Oreochromis niloticus: one gene and its partner. The protein of the gene in region 2 interacts with the protein of the main gene of each other region in a pairwise test. Links are inferred from orthologs where the notes say so. Each region holds a gene or a part of one and is shown on either strand. Other genes may lie near its edges.

What was found.
Region 1: the proteins of trim55b (region 2) and usp13 interact in a two-hybrid assay, tested with the Homo sapiens proteins (2 studies listed by BioGRID and IntAct). The link is inferred for Oreochromis niloticus from reciprocal best matches to the Homo sapiens genes TRIM55 and USP13.

What each region holds. Positions count from the first base shown.
Region 1 is NC_031986.2:45,478,930-45,488,711, forward strand, and holds the start of usp13 (ubiquitin carboxyl-terminal hydrolase 13), read right to left. Parts: upstream 3,687-9,782; 5' UTR 3,388-3,686; coding exon 3,277-3,387; intron 3,229-3,276; exon of another isoform or gene 2,892-3,228; intron 1,532-2,891; coding exon 1,406-1,531; intron 1-1,405. Other genes in the region: ndufb5 (NADH dehydrogenase [ubiquinone] 1 beta subcomplex subunit 5, mitochondrial), read right to left, coding at 4,778-4,898, 5,699-5,805. UniProt on the Homo sapiens protein: Deubiquitinase that mediates deubiquitination of target proteins such as BECN1, MITF, SKP2 and USP10 and is involved in various processes such as autophagy, endoplasmic reticulum-associated degradation (ERAD), cell cycle progression or DNA damage response.
Region 2 is NC_031974.2:19,331,872-19,341,168, reverse strand, and holds the start of trim55b (tripartite motif-containing protein 55b), read right to left. Parts: upstream 3,655-9,297; 5' UTR 3,134-3,654; coding exon 3,014-3,133; intron 2,727-3,013; coding exon 2,557-2,726; intron 1,202-2,556; coding exon 1,024-1,201; intron 874-1,023; coding exon 778-873; intron 127-777; coding exon 1-126. UniProt on the Homo sapiens protein: E3 ubiquitin ligase that plays an important role in regulating cardiac development and contractility, muscle growth, metabolism, and fiber-type differentiation.

The DNA of each region.
Region 1 (9,782 bases), on a different chromosome or scaffold from region 2:
TACCAAGTCCGCTCTTGGAATTTTCCAAACACACAAAAACTACAAAAACCTTCAGTGAGAAAAGTTAGAGGTGAGAAACAGGCCTGAAAACCTTAAGTGTTACCCACAAACAATTTGATGGCAGCAACATGTCTCAAAAACCGCAAAAGGCTGGAACAGTACGCATTTCAAAAGGAAACAGCTGCAGCAACATTTTTGAAATCAATAAGCTTAACTGCTAACACGTCAGTAAAAAGAAAATAGCGTCTCAGAGAGTCAGAGTTTCTCAGAAGTAAAGATCAGCAGAGATTCACCAATCAGCACAAGACTGCAGGTCCAAATTGTGAAAAACATTTCACAACAATGTTCCTCATACATAATATAATCCAAGGATTTAGAGAACCTGGAGAAATCTTGGGCCCTGCATTACAAACAGGCATGCTTGTGTCCTGACAATTGCTGCATGGCTCAGGAATACTTTCTGTGAACAAACAACGCCATCCACAAACATAGGTTAAAGTCAGAGACGCTGCCGTCATCTCCGGGCAAACGCACATTTAAAATGGACAACGTGGAAACTGTTCTGTGCTCAGACGAATCTAAACTCTTTTTGTAACACATGGACATCCTGTGCACTCCAGAAGAGAAGGAACACCTGCTTAGTTTAAAACCTGGCATCTCCGATGGTGTAGGAGTGCACTGATGCCTACGGACCTGGCAGCTCGGACATCTGCAAAGGCACCATCGGTACTAAAGGTATATGCTCCCATTCAGATGGTGTCTCTTTCAGGGAAAGCCTTGCAGATTTCAGCAAGACGATGCTAACTTGCATCTATTATACTGCATCAGCATGCCTCTGTGGGAGGAGAACCTGTGTCCTGAACTGGCCTACCTGCCTGCAGTCCAGTTTCACCAACTGAAAACACTTATTGAAATGAACAATATGACAGAGCAGACGCAGGACTGTGGAGCAACTGGAATGCTGCATCAGACAGGAACGGGACGACGTTCCTCTCCCAAAACTCAAGCACCTGGCCTCCTCGGTTTCCAGACACTAACATTTTTTCATACACATTGTCTCAGTTTAAACATCTGGGATAAAATGCTTTTACAACTTGACATGTTGTGATTAATTTTGTGGGTAAGAAGTCTGGATTTAATTTGGTCTTATGTGTTAACAATCATCATTTAAATATATGAATAAATATTCCACACATCACTGGTTTTACTCAGGAGTTGTTTTTTTAGCTTTTCTGTTCGACTCTGTTCAATTCTATTAAATATCTATTAACTGAATTACCTTTATGTGTTACGGATTCAAACGTGCTCTATAGAAACAAAGATTATTTCTATGCTCTGAATTCTACTTTAATCTGTATTTACAATCAACACCCGATAAACTACACAGAGCAGGTGGAAGACGTACCTCTTTGACGTGCCGTTTGAGGTGCATGTAAACGCTCTGTCCTGTTTTGCGATAATGTCGCTCCACATGTTCTCGACCAAAGCCCAGGAATGTGTTCATACACACATACAGGCCTCCCTCAGACTCCTGCGGAGCAAAACAAACAGTAACAATGAGAAAGCACAACTGGCACGCTATGAGCACATTTGAAATATTTCTTACCGTGGGAACAATTTCAGGATCTTCTATTTTGCCCAATTTGCCAAACTCATCACCGTAATATCAAACACAAAGATGTGATTCTGACACTTTCCAAAGTCTTTCTCGCTCAAAGAATTATTATTTGCACCAAAAACTTTCCACCTTTCAGCATTTGTGCTGCTGACAAGCATTAGTTTGAATACAAATGCCTCCTCTGACAGGTCATTTAATTCAAGGAAAGTAACTGATTATTCTCTCATATTAGGCTTCATACGAGCAACATGATACAACAATTTTATGCTGTTGTTTCTGAAACTGAAAAGCGTCCCATTACAGGCAGACTCATTTCATTAACAACATGTCTGAGCTCTTAGGAGAATGATTTTTACCTTTAGCAACAGCCCGTAAGCTCAGACTGACTTGTGTCATGTCTTTTAGAGAAGAACGTGATTCTTTGGTCATCTTGTTATTATCAAAAAAAGTCCACGTGAATGGTGACAGACACCTAAACATGCTTTCAAATCTACAATAACATCAACCTTTTCCTTTCTTTGACAGTTCACTTCACATGGGAACACAAAACACTTGGAAAATATACCTTCAACGCTAACCTAAATCTGCGACCAGGCCAGGCCTAATAAACCTCCCCGTGATAAACCTTTAAGTGGCCCAGAGTGACATATGAGCCTCAACAGTGCAAGGGTAAAAATAACCCAGTCCTCAGGCCAACATGATGAACTCCAGACAGCTGAGTCACCTTTAAAAACGGTTTCAGTCGAGAAAGCGAGATTTCACTGGGGCAAAGAAATTTTATATCTGTCACAGGTAGGAAGGGTACCTGTGACAGATATAAAAAATGCAGGGTTCAGTCCACGTACAGGAAGGACTGAACTCTGCATCATCAGCGCATAAAACCCCTTAAAGGTTCAAGTAAAGTAAAACAGCCGCCGTGTTCATGATGGCACTGCTGTCCTATTCACAGAAGAAAAGTAAAATGACAAAAATAAAGCAGAATAAGCATTTTAAAATATATACAGAAAAAGCTGAGAGCAATAGCAGAAGCATCAAATATTTCACTTTTTGACTCGTTATAGTCACAGTGTCGCGGAGACACCATGTGACGCCATAATGGCTACTAAAAACCAAAACAACACCATTAAGGTCTTGAAACGTCTACAAATCCTGGCTGTTTGAGAACAGAAGCATCCCCGTGGACACAGTTCCAGCAAGCACCACTGGCGCACTTTAGGTCATTTTCAGACAAATTATAGACTATAAAAACCCAAGAGTGGAGCAGTAAACTCACTCCTGAACACGGCTGTGCTGCTGCTGGTGGAGGATTTGAGCCCAGCTTCAGGCAGGTGTAGGTGTGTGGCTCCGTTTATTGGTCTAACTGGCCTGCGTTAGGACCTACAGTAGTAGTGGGGTGGTGTGAAGTGGACACAAAGGAAACTCCTTTCATCCCTTTCGCCTGAGACGTAAACACCCTTTAATTGTTTTTTAACCTCCCAAGCTCGCGGAGACGGTGACCATGGAGACACGCGCATTTACAGCAGATTCACGTGCGCCGCTGAGCTCGTGCAAAACAAGCTGTCAGCTCGCCTACGACGCACTTTCTCTCCCCAAACAAGCCGCTCGTGTCTCACTGAGTGAGTGTGTGTGTGAGGAGGGGGGGCGACAGGCACACTTACGGGAGAGTCGAAAGAAAAGGCGCACTCGCTCTTGAAAACCCTGTCTCCTGTTCTGGGGACCCTGATGGTGGGCATGTATGGGACCAGCAGCTCTCCTAGGTCTGCAGCCATCTTCGCATTCCTGCTTCTCGCACCACAGTGCTGCGGAGCCTCCGGGGCAGCGCCTGTCACAGGAGAGGATGCTATTTTTAAAGCACTTCGTCTCTACATTCCTGCGACCAGGGGGATGTGACGTTGAAAAACATAAAAATAAAATGACAGAGGGGTGGAGGCAGGCAGGCAGGCTGCTGCACGGTGCGGCACAACGCTGAAAGCTAATGTTGTTCTTTTGTTTTTCTATTCTTTTTTCCTGCCTCCCACCACAAAAAAAAGAGAAATCTTGGACCTGCGCAGAAATTACATTGCTACTGTTGGCTGTGGTGACGCCGCTGTGCTGCTCCTGCTCACGGGGATGTTTTACGAGAAGGGCCCCTCCCACCTCTGAGGATGATTCATAAGACCACCCACATTTACTACAACATGTTTCCAGTTTCCAGGATTCAGGAAGTGCGTGATTATGGAAGACACTTTGATTTTTAGTAGCTGCTTATCAATCTGCAGTCGGTTTGGTCTATTTAAAAAAAAGACAGAGCAGTAAATGTCATTTAATAATAGATAATAATAATAATAGATAATAATAAACAAAAAATATACTTCAGATGACTAATTTTTATTTATATGTTTGATATGTGATTTTAAGTCCACTTTTAAATAGTGCTGCATGTGTGTAAAGAAGCCCTTTGTCCACGTGACCAGGCTAGTCTTGTCTGCAGAGCTCTGCCACCCGGTGGACGCTCGTGGTTATCGCAAGAAAATATAAACTATAAACCAAGAGGAATCCAGCCTTCCTTAGAGATCTGGAAGAATTTACAGTACAAATAAATGTAAGGTGCAGTTTTGGTTTTTTTTTAATTGCACTTGGCTGAAACTTTCTCAGCCCTGGCTAAGCATTTTAAAGATGGATATATTTTGTTCTTTATCAACAGACCGAGTACATCCTGGACAGGTTGTCAGCTCGATGCCGGGCTGCTACAGAGACAGACAACCACAGGAGATTTTTAGAGTCACTAATTAACCCCACTAACTGCACACAACAGAGAAAATGCAAACTCCTTAATGAAGGCCCCGGCCAAAAATAAATAAATACATTTACAAAAAAATTTAATTACATATATATTATGCACATTTGATTTACTGTTCAACTTGAGCTTTATTGGATGATTTCAGCTCAGAAGTATTCACACAAGCTGAAGACAGGTGGTGTCAGTGGGTTTGACACAAGCTGCCAATCCCCGATCATCTGTAACTCTGTAATATCATCATGGTGAAGGTGTTTGCTGCATGAACCGAATTAAGACGCTAAAACATGAATATCAGAGTTCATATAGATACTTTATTCACGCAATATGGGAAAAAATGTACAAACAGTGAGATTGATGTACAGATGACAGAAACATCTGGATTAATGGTCAGGTGATGACTTGGGGCTGTTGTCAATTAGCTCTTTGTTAAGGGTCGGCACTTGGAACCAGGGGCCGTCTCCTTGCTGCCTCATCTGGCGACGCACCTCCAGCTGCGTCAGTCTGTGACAACAAAACAATGAATAAAGAGGCAGAGAAATGTAACACCATGCTTTAGAAATGAGCAACCAGTTAAGTGAGGAAGACTAATAATGTACGACACTTGTAAAATAACAAAGAATTACATTTGTCACAGCTGCAGCACACACACTTAAATTGATTCCTCAAGACTGACCAATCTCTGCAATTTCAATAACCAATCTGCATATAATATTTTTCAGAGAGCATGTTCTGAAAAATCCAAAGATGGTTCCCTCATAGGCTCACTTGCACCTGTTTTCTTTGGGGAGAGGAAAAAAACAAAAAACAGCTGAGGTTTTCCACATCAATGGAACAACGCTATTATCAAGGAATGCAGCTGCTCTGCACGCCCTTTCAGGATCCCTCCCTCCTACTGCATCACGTTCTGGTGCTTTTCATGACTGGACACACTTGAGAAAAGCTACCGCTTTAGCGTTTGCAGTGATTTTTCCATGGCGGTGGTAGCAAACTGCTGTTTCCTATTTCTGTAATGATGAGCCAAAGTTTTCTTCAGTGTCGACACAACTTTGTCTGCTGTAAAGCACATTTGTAAACCTCTCAGCCAGTTAAAAACAATCCAATCTCTTGGATACTTTCCTCTGTAGAACTCAATATCATGACACTCTTGGTTACACTACATAAACAGCTAAACACCAGCTGTAGCGCATCAGTGTATCGTGTAGTGGATATGAGCCAAGCAGAGACATCTTCTAAAAGCATTTTAAATGCATGTGTTTGTGTTATTGGTGAAGCATATGAAGCACACTGGCAGTAACACCCACCTCATGTCTGCTTTTTCCTTTTCAATCTGGACTGCAGCCATCATCTTTTCGTAGTCCTTCACTGGGGAATCATAGATGTTCCGTGTGATCCACCTGGTGATGGGGTGCTGAAACAACAGAGCACAAGGATTTGATGCAACATAGGACTGTCCCTTTAGTGCAGTCGTGTGACATACATTTGTTGCAGTTCAGTGTTATTGTGTTTACAGAGGAGCTCTGGTCAAGTAGACTTTCTTGAGGGGACATTTTTTTTATCCTGTTTTAATCCTTGTGGCTGGTGCTGCTGTGCGTTTATGTCGTCTGGTTCAAATTTGGTGAATGTTTTGGGTTTGGTGTTGACATCTGACCAGGCTTCTTGACTCCTCCTATTGGTGGAGCCTCGCTTGTGGAATACTCCACTCTCACCCAAGGTGGAAGCGTGCCACTTGTGGAAAACCACTAGGGAAGATCGAGTGCTTAAATGGACTTTGTTCACTGCCTGATCAAAGCTTGTGCGCTAAAACACACTGGAGTTTTTTTTAGGAATAAAGGCATTTTAAAAATAGAGTGCCTCGGAGTCCTTTGAAGACTTTGCATAAAAATCATACCCAGTTTAAAATCAGTTGATTTCTCCTTATCAGAAGTCTCCTTAGACAGGAGACTAGCATGGCTGCTATTTTTAGCTCCTTTCCTGGAAGTCCCGGTCTGTTCCGTTGCACTTGTGCATCTGCAGCGCATGATGGATCACCTCCAGTGTGTCACTGCAGTAATACTTCAACTCTAACTTCATTTTGGGGAAAAGGACAAAGAACCAAAATTTGGAAAGTGCGAGGCAGTCGTTGGTGTGTGGACGCAGACTGATACGTGCCACGTACAGACTGCTTGCTCCAAGTCCAGAGATTATACTCTCAGTGATAGGACACTGGGCCATGTTTGCCACTGTGAACACCTATGTGTCTATGGAACTGTGCAGGCTGCACTACCGCACTACCACACCCTCAGAGATGCAGGATTTTGAACTGAGCACTGATAACAAGCCGGATGTTCCCTCTCCTCTTTAGTCTGAAGGATGTTGTGTTCATGTTTTCCAAAAAGAATATTACACTTTGATTTGTCTGACCACAGGACTGTTTCCACACTTGGCTCCAGTCCATTTTAAACTTTATATGTTTATATGTTTACTTTATATGTTATGCAAGTGTTCTTGCTACAGTTTTGTCCGGTGTTATCTCCCTTCAGATTTATGATCGGCATGCGTTACTGGCGATCAAATCTGCTATGGATAACTTTCAGAGTCAACGAAACGACGTTGTTTTCCCACCGCCGCTTGAGCGCCACGCAGCATCCGGTTTACCTTCACTCTTGCCGGTCAGCTCTATTTTGCTTCAGAGGCCTCGTCGGAGGAAGTGGGGGAAGAGAGCCGGCTTTCTTGTCCTGCTCTGTCGTCTTCGGAAAGAGGCAGATCTTCGGGGGCTTTATTCCTGGGCTGCTAGCGGTAAGATCCGCCTGAGACTTGTCGGAGCTGGATTAATCCCCACAACCCACTGTGTTTACCACCCAGGCTTCCACCTGAAAGCATGGAAAGCAGTGCCTCATCGCGGCAGGAACCCTGTGTTGCTGCACAGCTTACCGCATAGTACGAACTCTGTTCCTGGAAACTCTACCCCTGTCCCGGTGGGTCGCAGCGTTAAATGGATGTTAATTAATGCCCGCTCAATTGCCAACAAGTCTTATATCTTAAATGACTTGTTCTGTACGAAGAAGCTTGATTTTATGTTTATCTCTGAGACGTGGCAGCGTGAGAATGAAGTCTCACATCTTTTAGAGCTTTGTCCCGCTGACTGTTCTTTTCTCTGTGCACCTCGGATATCTGGATGAGGAGGTGGAACAGCGGTAATTTTTAAAAAGACATTTTTTATGCCAGATGATCTCCTCGAGCTGTTACAACTCTTTTGAGATGATTATGATAAAAATTGGACGAGAACAGCCCATATACGGCATTTTAATTTATCGTCCACCTGGGTCTGCTGCGTCTTTTCTGTCAGACCTACAAGAATTTTTAACTTCCACTATTAAACTGGGCAAGGTCATCATTGTTGGTGACTTCAACATTCATGCAGAGGACTCATCAAACAGTACCACTAAGGAGTTCCTGAGCATTATGGACTCTTTCAATTTTGTTCAGCATGTATCAGGTCCTACTCACACAGCTGGGCATACTCTGGACTTGGTCTTCACCTGTGGTGTTTCCCTTGACCACATGAACTTAAATGAAGTTGCTTTTAGCGACCATAAGTCAGTCTTTTTTAATGTATCTATCAACTCAGAGTCTCTTCCCCAAAGTTTTATTAGGCGCAGGCGCTTTATTGATGACTCTGTCAATTTAAAGTTTTCTTCTCTTTTTAATTTTAAACCTCCTTCTGATGATGTTGACATCCTTATTAATTCTTTTAATGAACACTATCTTGCCATTCTTAATCAGGTTGCTCCTTTGAAAACTAGTCATTGCACTGTTAGTTGCTGGACACCATGGTTAAATAATCAAACCCGTGGTCTTCGACGCTCCTGTTGAAAAGCAGAGCGTCTCTGGAAGTCCACTGGGCTGGTTGCCCATCGGGAACGCTTCAAAGAACTTCTTCACTTATATAATGAGTCAGTCAAAGAGGCCAGATCCTCTTACTTCAATAATCTCATAAATCGTCATAAAAATAACCCAAGAATTCTATTTGATACCATCAACAGTATTGTTTCTCCTCCAACTCAGCAATGCTGTGTTACTTTCTGATGAAGACTTCAGCACTTTCCTCAATTACTTTGTAAATAAGGTGATGGACTTGAGATCCAAAATCTCCTCAAGTGCCTCCCCTTATGAAGATGCCCCTTGTTGTCCCGGGTCATTTACTTCATTTTCTCCAATCACACTCAAAGACTTAATTGCAGTAATAGGTAAAATGAAATCCTCATCATGCTCCTTAGATATATTACCTCCCTCTGTCCTGTCTGGGACTCTCACCAGCATTGGTCCCACACTTCTATACATCATCAACAATTCACTGAGGCAAGGCTGTGCTCCGTCCTATTTTAAACATGCTGAGGTAACCCCTCTGGTAAAAAAACAGAATCTAGATCTTACCTCCCCTAGTAGTTATCGTCCTATTTCAAGATTGCCATTTATAAGTAAATTACTAGAAAAAATTGTAGAAAACCAGTTCAGGTCCTACTATGCCGATTGCAGATTTTTGACCCTTTTCAGTCTGGCTTTCAAAAGCAGCACTCTACGGAGACCGCTCTCTTAAGGGTCCATAATGATCTACTAATGGCACCTGATGCAGGAAATTGTTCCGTGATCATTTTGCTAGATCTTAGCGCAGCCTTCGATACCATCGACCACAAAATCCTACTCAACAGGCTGAAGGTTCTGGCTGGTATATCTGGCACCGCCTTAGACTGGTTTTCTTCCTACTTATTAGACAGGACCTTTTCTGTTAGGACTGATAGGTTCTCCTCTAACACTGCTGCACTAACCTGCGGGGTTCCACAGGGTTCAGTTTTGGGTCCATTATTATTTTCTTTTTATATGCTTCCTTTAGCTGGCATTATTCAGTCTTTTAGTGACCTGTCTTATCATTTCTATGCCAATGACATTCAGCTATATAAGTCCTTTAAGCCTCATCAGCTGGATAGGCTGTCCACCCTAATCCAGTGTTTAACTCAAATCTCTGATTGGCTTTCTAACAATTACCTTGTTTTAAACATGAACAAGACAGAGACCATGATCATAGCTCCTCCTGATCTATATTCTAAAATCAGTCAGGTTCTTGCCCCTTTCTGTTCTTCTGCTAAGCCAAATATTCGAAATCTTGGGAGTAATATTTGACTCTTCTTTGGGCCTTGCCTCACACGTAAAGTCTCTGTCTCGTTCCTGTTTCTTTCATTTAAGGAATATTTATACTGTGACATATGGTCTCCTTAGCTGAACTGGAAAAAATTGTCCATGCATTTGTGTCATCGCGTTTAGATTATTGTAATTCCCTGTTTACCAGCTTGGATAAATCATCTCTTTCTCGCCTCCAAGCTATACAAAATGCAGCAGCCAGACTACTAA
Region 2 (9,297 bases):
ATAGTTCACCTTCTCTTCCTGTTCGTCTGTCACCTTCTGATTCAGCTCCCTCTTTTTCTCCTCCAGGATAGAGTATAGGTGGTCAAACTTTTCACACACCAGAGTCTTCTGTCTCCGACTGTTCTCCTGTACGTGCGAGAACAAGCGAAGAAAACACGCACACACACAGGGAAAGGTTGTAAATTCTGCAGGTCCATTCTTTATTAATGAGTTCTGGGTGGGAAATGTAGGCAATTCAGTTTCGAAGTACATTAGAATTTCAAAATGAGAGAAAATGCGGTAACTAGTTGTTGTTTTCATTCTTCGGATGTCTAAATACTGCAAAATGCCTTCCGTTCATTTGGTGCCATGTGCATGACGCTATAGCAGTGACACACAGGGGACTGGAGTCACTCCAGCTTCCTCTCTACTACGTCCAACTGTGGCACGTGAACCATAAGAAAGCTGCCTGTTCTCGCCCCATCAATTACACTGCTCGTTTTATTGTCCGTGGAAGTGGGTCGAAGGCAGAATAGGGTGCTCTAACTAGTGTATGTGGACCCAGCGTAGGAGAAAATATGAAAATGGGAGATTAAAGCAGTCTGTGGAACCAAAACATTTATTTTCCTCTTACTGCCTCTCTGTCTAAATCTCACAGATGGATAAAAGCAGAAAGAGTGGCCGTGACAAGGACACATTACATCAGTTTGGTCGTCTGTGCAGGTACATTAGTGTGTGCACGGAGTGAGGCTTGCTGCGTGAGTGAGCGGCCAGGCACTGCAGCAGTCGGACACTGACCTCTATGGCACGACAGGCTTCCTCTAGCTGACTAATGATGCCCTGCATCCTGTCGTTGTTACCAACCACCATGGCAATCCCGTCACTCAGCTCCGTCTAGGGGGCAAGGACATGGCAGCATGACTACAGACTCAAATCTGGGGCAAATCTATGGTTACACTATGATATACTTCATGATGAAACTGTAAAAAACACATCACCATGGCTGACAGTATCCGTAGCCTTTGTAAGCATCTCAGGCCTCACCTTCTTCGTCTGGTAGATGCTGCTGAGAGGAGCCACCTCGCAGTCTTTGTGGGCTCCAAAGACCTTGCACATGGAGCACGTGGGCACACCGTGGGTCACGCAGTAAATGTTGATCTTTTCGTCCTCGTGAATATCACACATGGGCGTTTCTTCCTTTTTCTCTGGTGCTGGTTTGCTGCTGTTGAGGTGCGATGGAAATAGCGGTAGTATCCCGTGATGCTGCACATTTGCATACTGATGTGACATGCAGTGTCAGTTTGATAATGTCACTGTTACACATCTCGGCATCTAAACAGCTTATCGATGACCCATCAGGTGTGCCCTGCCATTCACATGCACTGCCAGCACTGTAATCAATAGGTCATCATCATTGCTGAGTAGTGTGGGAGCAAGCATACATGATTCATGTTTTTATACCTTAAAAGTTTTCTCCCTTTCCTTATTTCTTAAGTTTATACATATTTGTCACACCATCAGACAAAGATAATAAAAAATGAAGTTTTTAAATAATGATTTCATTTCAGTGAAAAAGCTATCCAAATGCACCTGCCCTGTGTGAAAAAGTAATTGTCCCCTAAACCTAATGACTAGTTGTGCAACCCTTGGCAGGAAGAACTGCAATAAAGCTTTTGGCGATATCTGGCAATGAGTCTTTCACATCACCGTGGAGGAATTTTGGCCTGCTCTTCTTTGCAGAATTGCTTTAATTAAAACACATTTAAAGGGGCTTTTGAGCACGAACAACCTGTTTAAGGTCCTGACTTTGAGTAGGTCGTTCCAAAACCTTACATTTGCTTGTTTTTAAGTCATTAAGAAAGGATAAATGTCAATCTTTGCAGGATGTGAATGTTTGCATTTTAGACCGAGGAGACAGTTTAAAAGACGATGACGGATCATTAACAACACCAACTGTCAACCACCTACAATGCAGTCTCAAGATCCGTTTCCCAGGCGGCTCAACACCCACTCACACGTTGCGCCAGGTGAACTCAACGGGTCACATAATGTGGTCTCACGCAAGATCTCGCAGTGATTTCATCTGAAGCCTCAGGTGGTAATGACCCACTCCTTTCTTCCCAGTTTGGCTCTTGTGATGATGGACAGGACTACTAGTCGGGCAACGATCACCTCTTAAGGGGAAATCCATTAAGGTTTAAATACCTGGCACTCTCTACGTTTTGGTCTCAGAACTGAAGAAGCATCTCGGATGAGAGGCTGTCATCCTATAAACTCTACTTAGGATAATGGTAATGAAATAATGTCACAACAGCAAAAAGTGTTGTGGATATCATGTCATACAAGCCTTTCAGTCATCTGCTGGATAAAAAATCTGTGTGGATGACTACTGCAAGTACAAACGTCCTCTCACCCACTGCAGATCTCTGACTCAGAAGCCAGAGTTAGTGTTTCACTTCCTGCTACTATACTTTACTGCCCTACAAGGCGAGTTTCACTAATAAAAACATCCTCCTGTCAGACATGAAGAATTCTTTTCATTTTCTGTTATTTTGACAAATGTCTGATCTGTCTCACCTGCTGGATTCTTGTTTGAACATGTCAATGATATTCTCAACCAACAGGTTCCTCTGCAGGCCGTAAACACCATGCCTGTCCAGAATCACCTCGTGTCTGCAGGACGGGCATCGGAAACGTCCACCAGAGGTCAACGAGCCGCTTCTTGTTGGAAGGTATGGGTTTGAAGCCTGTAAACGACAACAAGGGAAGCTCTGAATTTTGCATGACTGGGTTTTGATGGATAGCAGAAGTAAAATTAATTACATTGTTTAACTCAGCAGTTATGAAATATTAATCCAGGGGATTAACAGTCCATAACACAAACTTCAAACCACCATCATTAACATTCAATCCACATGTTTGTAAACAGAGCCTATAGGTGTTAAATTTATATGTCACTATTTGGGTCTTTGATATGTGAAAATTCAGACCAACTTTATAAATAAGTACCAATTTGAGCCATTCAATAGCTTACCTGGAAAACATCATTGGCACATTTTCTGCACAGGTTGTGCTGGCAGGGTAGGATGACCACAGGCTTTGTAAACATTTCCAAGCATATTGGACAAATCAGCTGTTTCTCCAAGTTGTCCATGGTGTCAACGATTTCACACGCAACTAAACAACTTAAAAAGTCTGAAAAGTTTAGTATGAAGTCCTTTCTAAAAGCAATCTATCATAGGCCCAGCTTCAGGCTGAGTAGTAGGCCTGTTATGTTTGTCCTAGCGGGTGTAGACTCCTATCTCCTCTGTGTCAGTTCTGTTTTTAGCAGCTACTGCTGTCACGTCTAAGGTTGCCATTTTTGCCTTGTCCATATATGAAACTAAGTAGGGCAGTGCTGAAAAGCAGCCCATCCCCAGCCTCTTCTACACGGGGTGCCATGTGGCTATGTGTTTGAGAGGATAGGGGCAAGTCATTTGGCAAGTGATGCAATCATAGGCTAACTTTGATTGTGACTTTTATATCTAAAATTATTGATAGCATCTGACAGTCTCTACTGAAAACACCTAGTACTCAGTACCTTTTTACCATGTTGCCGATCAAGTGCCAGCTTTGCATTAATGTTAACTTAGACAATAGACAGCAGCCGGAAGCTATCAAAAGTGACTTCCAGTCAAAGTTGGGAGGAGACCATTACGTAAGAGGGAAGATAACCACGCACAGGAGAGGTTTGTTACAATCCTAGGTTCGCTGGCTAAGCTCCTAGTTAAAGGAGTGATCGTGATTTTACCTAGCATTAAACAAACTATGGCATGTGTAAAGCATTTTTTGCACATGGGTATTTGCACTTAGAGAACAGCATAAGGACGACAACCGTAACATTAGGTGTATTCACCGCATCCTTAAAAGTAGGTGATAACTGCTACTATTTTAAAAAGAACAATTCAGCTAAAATATTTTGGTGTTTGTTAGCGTGTTCGAGGCCTTACATTGAAGGAAAAATGAAAATGTTATTGGAGAATGCGGGCATCGATCCCGCTACCTCTCGCATGCTAAGCGAGCGCTCTACCATTTGAGCTAATTCCCCGGTACGGAAGTTGTTCGTTGTGTGTGTATTTATTGTTCGTGAGATACGTAATTGGTTCAATGTGACGGTGTAGTGTTTGATATATTTCACATATCATGCCGAAATACAGTGCGGTAAGGTAGCATTATTAAGCTGTCTAGGTTAGCTCTAACAAATGTGAATAATAACAGGGTTTAATAGCTGCTAAGTTATTGAAAGGCTCGCAATGTTAAAGTTCCTTTGAGGGCAACCAAGTTACTTCAAATATGTGGGGAAACTCTCACACACAACTATTTAGCTCAAGTGGAAAACAGTGGCGAATGCGAATTTCCAGAAAACATGTTAACCGAAGAGGGCGTCCGCCATATCTGCCGATCTCATAAATACACAGGGGGTGGAGGTAGTCGTCAGCTCCCTTCGATAGCTCAGTTGGTAGAGCGGAGGACTGTAGTGGCTTCCCAGGCATCCTTAGGTCGCTGGTTCGAATCCGGCTCGAAGGAGAGAAATTTTTTTTTTTTTCCCTCCCCTAAATTCAATTTTGAGCGCTTTTACAAATTTGCTAAGAATTGCTGTTCTATGAAGCTTCTCTAATCATTTCTTTTAATGAAAATACATATTTCAGATGTTGAAACAAAATGGCTAGTATTGGCAGTTAATGTATTTTTCTACAAATAAATGCAAATCCATAAAAACAGATGATGATTTTCTTAAACTTTCCCACAAAATCAAGTAGAGTTTTGGGGTGTATAAAAAATAGAAGTGAGCTTGAAAATGTTTGGCACTGCACTGCCTGCAGTGATGGTCTAGTCAGCATAAATACACAGCATATCCTGCAAATCTGCTGTGCATGTTAAATAAAAAATGATCACACCTGCAAGCACTGTTCAAAAAGGGAATTTAAAAGTGATTGTTTAGTGTTTGATTATCTCTCCACTCGTGATGAAAACAAACTTTATCACTTTGTTTGACTGTGAAATGACTTATAAAGGTGCTGCGAACACATTCAGATGGATGACTCAGAGACCGTAATTAACAGTTGTGTGGAGGACTGTGGCAAGCGTCACACACTAATAAAGCGCCTTTGTTTATTTCTGTGCTGTTGCACGATTGTTATTCCTCCGTCCACTGATTCTCATTAGCGGTATTTCAATTACAAATTAAAACCCCTGTCCTCTGCTAATGGAGTGCTCATCTTCATGAATCTGTATGAGTTCCTCACTTTATTTCCAAATATTTGTCACGTCTAAATGTCCCATGCAAACGAAGCAATTAAAGATGCACTTTTTCAAAACATTTGACCTATACAAAAAAATTTACATACTCTTTAATTAGAAACTCAATGTCAAAGCGAACGTAGCAGGATCCTCATAGTGGAAGCTTCTGACCCATTTAAGCATACCTCATCTTTTTCTTTTTTCTTTTCATCTGACTCATACAATATGACATCTGCCTTCCTCGCACCTCTTTTCCTTTTATATAAAGCCACATGGATGTGCACACAGTGCTTTTCATGCAGAATCAGTGAGTCATATTTAAACATTTTAGACAGATGTCATTACTGAAAATGAATGAATGTCTCTCTCACACTCTCTAATTTGTCTCTTTGTTTCATTTAGTGTCCCCCTCCGGGGTTTGCAAGTTAGGAATCAACTTTAAGAAATGAGAAAAAGGTAAAAAATAAATAAATAAATAAAATGGGGAAAAAAGGATGAGAAATATACACATTCAAATAGTAAAGTTCCCATCTCTTGTGATTTGCAAGTCTATGTAAATGTAAAACAGCGCTCTTACTAATTTTGTCATTTAGCTTTTTATGTGTGTCTCACCCAGTTCTCCTTTCTGTTGATGTGTTTTTTCTCTGTGATGTACTACAAATGAAGTTTTTAGTCATTTTGTGATGCTGTGGGCACACCACTTTATTCAGTTTTAATCAGTAATCTCTAAAAAGGCTGAACTAGCATGATTACATATTCATTAGCGACAAGCAGAGGCTGCTCAGATGCTCACCATTTAGATAAAAGTGAATTCAAATGAGATCAATTAAGGAGATGTTCTGGGTTATGTCTTTGTGATTGAAGTGAATTCATAATTTTTCATCCATTACTATCTGACTCATAATATTGCAGCGCCTGTTAGTAAAAATCCAACAAAGATTGACAAATTAAGAGCAGTGTGGAGATTACTTGGAGATGAAAGGCCAACATGAATGCCAGACAGTGCTGCCTTTGAGGCTAAAAGCTGCCAATTTAAAGAGCACAGTGTGAAACTCCTGTTCCCCTCTTTCGCTCGGCGTTGGTAAGCGGTGCTTTGCGTGAATCGTAAAAAAGGTCTGCATGCACTGCCAAGGCCATGAAATACACCTGCGCTCGCACATAACCGCACACATAAGATGTCTACAAACTCATAAGCAAGATGAAAGTGTATAGGGGACCAGAAAAGGGAGCAGAGCAAAGGGTGCCATCTGTTCACTTGTATGAATATTTCAGTTAGGTGGAAGTCATATTGTATTCACGCAGATGGCAAGCAGTCAGTGGCTGTGATTTAAAAACTCTCTGCGAGCAATTCCAGATAATGTCCATTTCTTCATCTCCATATCTGTCCTAAATGATCCACTGAGCTGAGAGTCTTTGGGTCAGAAAAAGTATGATCATACCCTAGAATGAATAGTAATTTTAAAGGTAGCAGTAATTCACCGTGGATTCGCTTGGGATGAAGAAATATTAATGTAGAACAGTATTTAGCAAGACTTAAAAGGTATTCCACCTTAAATTTACACAGACACTATCAGCTAGGCTTCACATTATTTTTAAATGCCAAGGATGTAGTTAAAAAAAAGCAAGGTCAGATCTTTATCCATTTATGCAACTTCTGGATAGTTCGGGTCTGAACTAGTGATACTCTGGGCAGTTTAGAGGATTTGCCGTCACTGTGTTAATGTTGCAAAAGAACGAAATGATAACGCAGGCCTGTTTACGATACTGTGATGCTATGAACAGTACTGCTGAGGTCATACTGGGGTTTTGTCTGGAGTTACATACACAGAGATACAGCAGTTGTACACCAAATATTTATAGTTGATTTAGCTGCAGCATTCACATTTATTATCTCCAAGAAACAGAAGATCCAGTGCTCGGTGGTGACCCTGATTAGATTTTTAGTGAGTCCTCTTAGTTATCCCAGCTAATAGATCTTTTCTCTGGCGTCTCCAAATGCACAGTGATGATAAGTTATAAAAGAAAACTACATGCGGTCCTGTGTACTGTTACAGCCAAGAGTTTGGATAATATAAGAGGTACTTCATTGTAAAAGTAAGCAATCCCCTATCATATGAATAAATGAGCAGGAACCTTAAACATGCAGTGACCTTTAAGCTTAGCAGTTAGAAGGTGTGCCTCTACTTTTTGGTATTTTTTTTTAAAAGAATGCATTTCAGATTATCCTCTAAAATGCTTCCAGGTTCATCTGTACCTGTCGGACTTTAGTAGCTTCTGGTCTGCAGACCTTTAGCAGATCAAGAACAGTACAGTACCTTATCCTGTTTGTTTTAAATGAACAATATCATGAAAATCTAATTGGGCATAATGAAATAGTGTCACACTTTGTAGATACATCTTACTTGTTTTAATCGTAATAAATAGATACGTTTTCTAGTACTCCATTGCTGTGTATATAATTAGAAGTTATTTTTGACCCTACCTTCATCACTGACATGCTTTTATTTAAATAAGTAGCAGTGTTTTAGGGCAGAATGTGTTTTAGAAGCAGTCATCAAGAATACTGATCATTTAAGCTATGAAAATATTTAATATTTCTTTATATTTTCTGTTTGTTAGTGGGATTAATGAAAGAAATTACAGGCTGGGATCCATGACAATATAAGTAAAGGTCAGGCTTGAATCAACTCAGACGTGATCTCATCATGTTGAGATCACGTCGTTTGTGATCAAACTCACTGAGTCACAAACTCACTGAGTCACTTTCCAGCCATGCTAAGCTACTTAAAAATACTCAAAACAACCCCCAAAACTCAAAGAGTGACTCTGAAAAAAGGCTCAATCAGCACTTTTCCAGTAGCCACATTATCTTTGGCTTTAAATATTAGAGTCCGTCCACTATACAGGCCACTAACATCTGTATTAAGATCTCATTTAAAATGCACCTCTCATGCTGTTGTATAATATGGCTCAAAATTGCACAACTTGGCTCAGTTGTGTAACAAAACATGTCAACCTACAATGTTTTAGAGCGGAAACATCCCAATCTTGTCATCCATAGATTGATGGAGCTGGACCGGGTGATCCTGAATCCTCCCTTAGTTATGCTTAGTGTTTCTTCTTCACACACACACCACTCCTCATTTAACTACTTATTATTACTCTCTGGCTCTCTTCCACAGTGTGTCTTTTGTCCCGTCTTCTTCTGCTCACACCCAACTGGTCGCGGCAGATAGCTGCGACTCCCTGAGCCTGGTACTGCTGGAGGTTTCTTCCTGTTAAAAGGGAGGTTTTTCTTTCCACTATCGCCAAGTGTTTGCTCAAAGGGAGTGTTTGATTGTTGGGGTTTTAACTCTGTTATTTTAGGGTCGCTACATTACAATGCAAAGCTTCTTGAACCGACTGCTGTTGTGATTTGGCACTATATAAATAAAACTGAACTGAACTAAATGAAAATAAAAATGGAGTTAGAGTAAAAATGTGCCACACTCTTTCTGGGATAACTCAGTCTTTGTATGAGTACAGATGGATAAACAGATGAACGAGATGCGATAACTCTCACTCACATATAAATGTCTAACATCCTATTTGATAAAGCCACTTGATTAGAAGAAAGATGAAATCAATCAGCCTGATTTTCACTCCTAACTTTATGTAACATCCTCTGCCATGCGGTGACGTAAAAGAGACGTCAGCCTGTTTTAACAAGCACGGCTGCACCGCATGGTCATGGGAAACTGAGATGCACTCAGCATTCAAGTGCTTGTCTCAGCCTGGTTTAAACCTCACAGCCTGTAAACCATGAACAGTGCAGTCCTTTAAAGCTTTGTTTCATAGGATAGTGAAGCAGGGTGATTTTAACAGCTGGTAGCCGATTGTTCAAATATCAGGAGGTATCTGTTTTAGACTAAGGGTAAAGCATGAACACAGTATAGTGGGATTATTGTGAATATTCATTCTGTCATTGAGGTAATTATTCATGCATTGTTACAAAAGGAGCTTAATCAATAAACTGTTTCTTAACTTCTCTGCTGAGAC